2 linked regions of the Mus musculus genome follow. The protein of the gene in region 2 interacts with the protein of the main gene of each other region in a biochemical or structural test. Links are inferred from orthologs where the notes say so. Each region holds a gene or a part of one and is shown on either strand. Other genes may lie near its edges.

Region 1 (4,477 bases), on a different chromosome or scaffold from region 2:
TATCCAAAGGACGTCTCTCAGAGGGAAGCATACGGGCATACCTCCTCTCTGCTGTGGTGTGGAAGCATACGGGCATACCTCCTCTCTGCTGTGGTGTACACAGGATACACACTGGGAATTCATTCCACGTGAGAGGAAAGGCAATAAGGCAAAGGTCCCCTGTTTCTGTTGCATTCACCTAAATACCGCGTTATTGCTCGGCTCACACTGAAGTACTTATTTGCCTTCATTTAGAAACATTCCACTTGACAGCTATCTACAGATGGGCAGCCCCCCCCCCCCGTGCTTCCGTTGATCTTTCGAATCTGTCACTGCAACGTCAAACAAACGCAGGAAAGAAAGAGCATTGTTCCGGTTTTCAGAACAGCCCAGCAGCCCACACTTGCTGGCCTTGCAGAAAACATCAATTTAAAAACACTACTGCTAACAATAATAATAATAATAATAAAGAGATCTGAAGTCTAAGTAATTAAAAATCAAACTTATTTTGCTTAAGTAAATAGGCTATAAGTGAGGAAATAGAATCAACAAGAAAAATAAATGTTCAAATCACTAAAAACTCTACTAGGTAACTCTTTGGTTAGGTTATACAAGTATTAGCAACTAAGTTTAGGACTCAAAATAGCTCGATAGACTTCCAGCTGAAGATGGGTCTTCTACTAATCTTGATAAAATCTAAGTTTACACGTACTGTTTCATATTTTTTTAAATGCGCACATACTCAAATGGATTATACAAACTTCCAACTTTCAAATAATAAATGAGCATGTCCCCCTCCTCCCTCCCGCCCTTCCTCCCATCTTTCCTCCCTCCCCAACCCTCCCACAGTCCTAGACCTAAGTAAGGGCTGACTGTCCCTACTAACCACTCCTGCGTTACTGGGTCACTGCCAGGTGACTTCTAGAAGCGCTGCCTCCCGCTCCCTGCCTGCTCCTAGCCTAGAAGCCTTAACCAACAAAACCTAAAGCTCGGCAAACAGCTGAAGAGAAAGGGCGCCTCCGCAGGCAGGAGGATTGCTTTCTACAATTTTAAGCCACAGGAGATCTAATGTGTTGGGGGTAAATAGAACTCTCCCCTGTTGCCAGTACTAGAATTTACTTCTACCTGTAACTTTAAAAACAAACAAAAAAATCTCTTTATTTACAGTCTCTGAACTGCGTCCTTGGGGTCTTCCAGCATACGGTCTACCATTCAATTGTCTAAAACTCTCTTTCTAATGAGGGTCAAATCTCTAACAACCTTTTAAAGCACTCTCTCCACACAGCACTCTCAGTTCTGATCTCTGAAACCGCTATGGAGTCAAAGGGTTTAAGATGTCAAGGACTCGTCCGAACTGCACGCCGGACACCGTGCAATCCGATTCTGATCAATTCAGTCATTCCCAGGTACTTGGTGACTGTCCCACTAGATCACGACAATCTGGGGGAAGGGTGGTTGGAGGCCAGGAGTAGAGGAAGCATGAGTGAAGGGCTACATCAGAACACTCTCTCGGCTAGTGGGGTCCAAAGATGATGAAGACGCCCAGAGGATTTGTGGCTGCAGATTCGCAAGTGGGGTGCAGACGGGTCTGGGTGACCTACTAGGAGATCTGGGGGTGGGGGCAGAAGGAATCGGGAAACAGGGAGGAAGCGAGGGCATCTATAATCCTGTCCCCCGAGGGGAGGAAGGGAAGTGGGCACCGGAGTGGCGAGGGGCGGGCGTGGGGAGCTCACTCCCTGCAGAAGACGTACTCGGTGTAGCTGGTCCAGATCTTGTCCTCGCTCTGGTCGGTGCTGCTAGCAAAAGCGCAGGTGCCCGTGGAGCTGCACGCCACCATGTGGAAGCCCGACTCGGACAGCTTATCGAAGGCCTGCTCTAGGAAGTTGAACTTGAGGTAATAGCGGGAGGTGTAGCGCTCCGGGGGCCGGTCGGGGTCCCGGCTCTCATTCAGGGTGTCCCCAAACACCTCCTTGGCCAGCGACGTCTTGCCGCACACGGTGATGCGCGCCACCCGCCGGAACTTGGCGTCCGCCTGAGCGTCGCGCCCGATGGTGTAGGAGCCGCGGTAGCCGATGGTGATGTAGCCGGAGCGCCGGCTGCCGTCCAAAGACTGGGACGGCGTGAGCAGGGGCCCCGCCGCGCCCCCGGACGGGCTGCGGCTAGCCAGCTCCAGCGTGGGCGAAGGCGCCCCGGCCGAGGCGCCCTCCTGCGGCTCGGGCTCTGCGTAGCCCAGCGGCAGCAGCTCATCGCCCAGAGAGCCCTCCTTGTGCACCCCGCGGCGCGAGTGCGGCGGCGGTGGCCCCGGACCGGGTTGCTGGGGCGCCCCGAGGCGACGCACGAGCTCCGGCAGCTCGAAGTACTCGGCCTCGCGCTGCAGCCGGCTGCGCTCCGGGAAGTAGTCGGGCAGCACGAGCTGCAAGTCCCGCAGGTAATCCAGGATGTAGCGGAAGAGGAAGCCGTCCCGGTCCAGAAAGAAGCGGCCTTTGCTGTCCCGGGCCAGCTCCTGCGGCTGCTGCTGCGTGAACATACGCCAGAGCAGCGAGTCGGGCACGGACACCACGGTGCAGCGCCGGGTCACATACACCTGCCCTCCCACGTTCAGCTCTACGATGTCCGGGAAGAGCGGCGGCTCCGCCGAGGACGACGACGAGCCGCTGCCACCTCCGCCTCCGCCCCCGTTGGGTAATCCTCGGGTGCTGTCCGCCAGAGCCATGGCCAAAAAGAGGTGGCCCGGATGGGCCAAGTGGCAGGGAGCGGGGTCGCGATCGGAAGCCCCAGCGGCTCTTATCGGGGAGCCCTGCGCTCAGGCGGCGGCCGGCCACTGAGAGCCGCGCGGTGCGAGCGCGCAGCAGTGCGCCCACGAGAGCCCCGGTGCGCTGCGCCTGCCTCGCCCGCGCGCTCCAGGCGAGTGGCGGGTCGCGGCCCGCGCGCCGCTTAAGTAGAGCCGCCCGCTTGGGCGGCGCGGCGCGCAGGAGGCGGTGGGCGGCTGCGGAGCCGCTGAGCTCGCTCCCGGGGCGGGGAGGGCTGGGGCGGGGTGGGGGTGGGGGAGGAGCGGGGAATGCATTTGCATGCTAAACGCTGACGCGGCTCGGGGCTGCAGGCTCCACCCTGACCCGCGCGCTCCGGGGGACGACCGGACTGTCACCGCCCGTCCGCCCACCCGCTCCGGGCCCAGCTCCTCTTCCTCTTCCGCAGTGGGTCAGAGCCTCCAGGCGCTTCTCCAGGAGGCTGATCACTAAAGCGATCCTCTTGTGTTCCCACCTCCCCTCCCGCCGCCCTTCTCGGCTGACCGCAGCCGGCACCCGGGGACTCCAGAAGGGGTTGGAAACTTTCTGGCAGAGTGGAAAAGCTTGATTGCCTGCGGCTAGCGCCCTCTAGACCTACCCGCTTCTAACAGTGCAGAGCGCTGCTGTTGGAGATCCATCCCCGGGTCTCTGGAAGTTCTGAAGAGACACTAACTTGGAAAGGATGCACCGGTCCCTTCAAGTCCAGACCACCCAAAGGTTTTTCACGTGACTATGTGACTAGCGTATAGCCTCGAAAAATCCCTAGAAACCACAAGCGAATGCTTCGCGAAAATGCTCTGTTAGATTATTTTGCGAGAGCATAAAGTCTTTGGTTAGGAAACCACAACACAGTACTGCAGTGAGCAGAAATGACTAGGAGAGGAAGTTGGGTGGACACAAAGGGGGGGGGAGGGGCTTACACTGCGTGGGCAAGAAAAGCTAATAAGCGCCTCCAATAGTGGGACGTGAGGCCTCCGGTTGCTTTCAGCCATCTGTAAATCGCACCAGAAAATTCCAATCTAATATTTTCTTTTATTCGTATTATTAGTATTTAATGATTTTACTAGTATTTCATTATTTTACTAAAATTCCGCTGATGTTTTATTTGTTCCTTGAAATGTTAATGCACGTATAGAAAATAATTTACTTTTAGCCCATGCATAACTGTTCTAAAGGTCCAGTAACCCGTGTTCTCCTCCTCCCTCCATCGTTCTCTTCTGTACTTTACAAGACCGTCCACCAGAGAAGAAAGGCTGTGTAGGTCTGAAGGCCCTTCAGATTTAGCCATGCTCTCTATGGACTCCTACTTGTTCAGCGTTTGGAGTCATGCACAAATTTCAGCCCACAGAATTCTGCCACTGCCGGGAAACCTTCCATGGTCTCCCAGGGGAATGAGACAGGTTGCTCTTCAAATTCCCATCTTTGCACTTGGCACGTTCTGAAATCTCAAATTTGTGGTCTGTTATCTGATCGTTGGTTTTTGGTGAATAAATAGATAAGGGCTTCAAGAAGCCCAAGATAGAGGAGACTCTGAAAAACCACAATTTTAATAAATGCTCTTATACGTTGCTGGGCATCAGGCTGTGGAGAATTCAAGGCTGACTACCTACATCTCCTTTAGAGCAGCCAAGAGGCAAAGGGTTGGCCATCTGAACAGTTATCAGATCACTTTGAAGGACAGGCTGTCAATCACAATAAGCCCAGAAAGATCT
Region 2 (3,809 bases):
AGTGTCCTGGCTATGCCCTCTCTGGACTATTCAAGAAGCAATTCAGAACTGGGGGACAGGTTCACCACAGCACAGCCACTCTGGGGAAGCTTATCTTTGTACTCTCTTACCATGCTGAGCATTGGGGGGGTGGGTATGGGGGTCCTCCTTGCAGATACTCCCAAGTTTTGTCTCTTTTTGAACACATTGGGGACTGTTGGACTCTGTCTAGGCCAATTGGCGCTAAGTTTGGGTCGGATGTGCTAAGCTCCCTGTTGCCATGACCCGGGCTGTTCTAGAGGACTATGGAGCAGGGATTGTTTGGAGACCAGGTAGAGGGAAGGGACAGGAGGATCGGAGGTCTCCAGCTGTGGACGTACCTCTGTGATCTTCATTCGTAGGCGGTGGTTTTCTGACTGCAGTCCCTCCAGGCGTGACGTGCTCGCCTGGTTCACGCTGGTGACTGAGGTGGAGGTCTTCGAATCTTCTTTCTTCTGGTTCTGTGTGAACTGGAATCGCCTGTTCTGAGTGGCTGCGTCAGGGTTTGTCCTCAGAGTGATGAGCTGAAGGGACAGAGGCGGCTTGCAGTGAGACTCCTGCCACTCTTCTCTCTCTCCAATCATGTTCCCCCACCAAGTCCTACATGGGAACTGACAGGGTCCCCCATCCCGGAAGGAGGCAGGCTGGGGCTCAGGAGCCCCAGGCCCTTGTTGGGCCCTGGCACAGGCTTGGGCATGAAGGGGGGACAGGCAGCTTCCCAGTCACTGAGCCTCAGAGTCCTTCTGGGATAGGAGAGTCAGCCTTCTGACTCTGGATCATTCACACCCTACCAGGACAGAGGCAGCCCAAGGCATTGGGCAGGATCCCACTGTGGAGAATTTCTACAACAAAGAGATAGAGGACAGGGAAGACTGCTCACACCATGGTGCGTTTAGAGACTAGCTGTTGACCTGTTTGTCCTGGCAAAGGCACTTAGCATCTTAAAACCCCTCACATCTGTTATCCTATAGGTTCTGTGGGGTAGGGGTCTGGACATGACTGAGCAGTTAAAAGTGATTTTTATTTTACTTTTAATGATGTGTCTATGTGCGCGTATACATGGGGTGGTTATGTGAGTGCATGCAATGCAGGTGGATGTGGAGACCAGCAGAGGGAGTTGGGTCCTCCGGAGCTGTAGTTAGGTGTAGTTGTGAGACACCTGACGGCATGCTGGGCACTGAGCCTGGACCCTCTGCAACAGCAATTTGGATTGCTAACTACCATAGCACCTTCCCAGCCCCATTGGGAAAATCTGAGACAAAAAAGTTGCCCCAAGACTCCAATCTTATCCACACATTCTAGAACCTTCTCTCGACCATGGTGGGCTCTAGGCTTAGCCCTGGAGACCAGGAGCGGAGTTTCCACAGCCTCCATTGGGACTCCTTAGCCTTGGGTGTGGGTGTGAAGAAGAGCTTCATTGTCATCCAGCCAGAAGGAATTAGGGATGCAGTAGCCATCAGGACCTGCTGTGCTGTGGGGGTGGGGGGTGGAGTGGTGGATGGGGGTGGGGTAGGGAGTCAGGGTAGGGGGGCAGTGGTCTGGAAGGGATGGTGGAGAAGGGAGATCCAGCACAGGCAAAGGACCTTAGGTGAGGGCTATCATCATCATCATCGTCATCATCATCATCATCATCATCATCATCACTACCATTATTATGTTTATCATCATGTGAGCACACAGCAAGGCATGCATGTGAGGCTCAGAGAACAGCTTTGTGGGGCTGGTTTTTTTTCTTTGCATCTCTATGTGGTTCAGGTTGTCAGCTCTTTGTGGTAAGGGCTTTAGCCTCTGACTCATCCTGCCAGCTTTTCTTTTCTTTTTCTAAAATATTCAATTTTTAAAAGATTTATATATATCTGAGGTCAGGCTGCACGGGTCCCCGAGAGGTTAAGGCTTCTTTATTCATGGCTGCAAAGAATAATGCTTGCAAAATATCTCTTCAAGTCGGTCCTCGCGATTGGTGTGACAGCCATATCCAACAGGGGACATGTGGCTGCTGAGAGCGCCGGAGGCCGCCCAACATGCAACCGTAAGCTTACTTGAAACTACGCCCTTTTCAGTGTGATTCTTAAAAAGGCAGTGGAGTTAAAAATTGGTTCTTGGGCATGAGCTCTGCAGAAGACAACATCTCGTCACCACGTCAAAAGTGTGATGCGCTTGCATTGTAAGATGTGGGTGGACACTCAGAGGGGCTGCTCCTTCTGACCCAATAATGCCACATCTAAGGCTGTCTACAGCACATGAGTGGGAACAAAAGAATGTGCTATGCAGAGAAAAATGTTCCTTAAAAATATCTACAATGGGAGCATTCAGCAATAAGGGATCGAGTGGATATTGAAGGCAACGGCCCCACCCTCATAATTCAGGTGGGTTTGGGAAAGGATGACGGGTGGGGAGCCAAGCAAAAGATGCAAAGGGAAAGAATGAGTAAGACCAGAGATGCAGTAAGACCAGAGATGGCTCGGTGGTTAGGAGAACCCAGGGCTCCTGCAGAGGACCCAGGTTTGATTCCCAGCACCCACATGGTTCACAACCCTCTCTAATTCCAGACCCAGGACTTCTGACCTCTGAGGGCACCAAGCATGCACACATTGCATATACATACATACATACATACATACATACATACATACATACATACATGCAAAATAGTTATATACATAAATTAACAAATTAATAAAATCCTCAAACTAAAAAAGCAAAAGCAAACCAAAAATGAAGACCGAGGTCTGGCAAGATGGCTTAGCAAGGAAAGGTGACTGCCACCAAGTCTCTGCTGCTCTGGGTTCGAGCCCCAGAACTTACCTGGCGGAGGGAGAGAACTGACTTCAGCAGGTTGTCTTCTGACAACGCATGCTATGGCAGTCCTGAACCCTCTCTTCCCCTTGTAAAATAAAACTTAAACATGTGAATTTAAAAGATCAACAGGAAACACATCAGGAGCGCCCAAACAAACATTAATAGTTTGTTAATTTGGGGTTGATGAGTTTGTGAAGTTTCTGGGGTCCTTGCTCTTCTCTTCCTCCTTCCTTCCTTCCTTCTTTCTTTTTTCTCTCTTTCTTTTTCTTTCTCTCTTCCTCTCTTTTTAGACAGGTCCTGGCTTTCCTGGAACTCACTCTGTAGACCAGGCTGGCCTTGAACTCAGGGACCCGCCTGCCTCTGCCTCCTGAGCACTGGAATTAAGCTGTGCACCGCCACTGATCTCTTCCCTTTCTTTCCTAATTTATTTTCTTTCTCTGTGTGAGGCGTGTTTTGGTGTACATATTTTTAATCTATATGCACAAGTGTGTGTGGGTGCAAGTGCACATGTGTGCACTTGCATATGGGGCCCCAAGTTGCATCCCTAGGGAATGCAGACTGGGGGTGCATCAGGCCCCCAGTTCTTCACCCTCACAACTGGTTTCCTGCAGAGGCCAGACCTTAACAAAGGGTATCTTTATAATTTTTTTCCAAACCTGGATTTCACCAATTCAGCAAGACTGGCTGGCCAGTGAGCTCAAGGATCTCCCTTTGCCTCCCCTGGGCTGCTAAGATGATGGGCATGCCATATGTAGCATGTTTTAAAACTTAACTTCCTTATCATCGAACTCGGATTTTATGCTTGCATGGATTGGAAGAGATTAAGGTAGTTCTCACGGGACAAAAGCCAGTCATGGTAGTGGTGCCTACTTGCAACTCCAGTGCTAGGAAGGCAGAGGCAGTTGACTCTTTGGAGCACTCTGGCCAGCCAGTGATAATTCATTTCTCAAAAATAAAGCAGGTGGAATCTGAATAACAATGCTAGAGGCTGT

What was found.
Region 1: the proteins of Gabbr2 (region 2) and Kctd12 form a complex in vitro, tested with the Homo sapiens proteins (2 studies listed by BioGRID). The link is inferred for Mus musculus from reciprocal best matches to the Homo sapiens genes GABBR2 and KCTD12.

Annotation. Positions count from the first base shown.
Region 1 is NC_000080.6:102,979,749-102,984,225, forward strand, and holds the start of Kctd12 (BTB/POZ domain-containing protein KCTD12), read right to left. Parts: upstream 2,890-4,477; 5' UTR 2,693-2,889; coding exon 1,709-2,692; 3' UTR 1-1,708. UniProt on the Homo sapiens protein: Auxiliary subunit of GABA-B receptors that determine the pharmacology and kinetics of the receptor response. Increases agonist potency and markedly alter the G-protein signaling of the receptors by accelerating onset and promoting desensitization.
Region 2 is NC_000070.6:46,677,111-46,680,919, forward strand, and holds part of Gabbr2 (gamma-aminobutyric acid type B receptor subunit 2 precursor), read right to left. Parts: intron 543-3,809; coding exon 360-542; intron 1-359. UniProt on the Homo sapiens protein: Component of a heterodimeric G-protein coupled receptor for GABA, formed by GABBR1 and GABBR2. Within the heterodimeric GABA receptor, only GABBR1 seems to bind agonists, while GABBR2 mediates coupling to G proteins.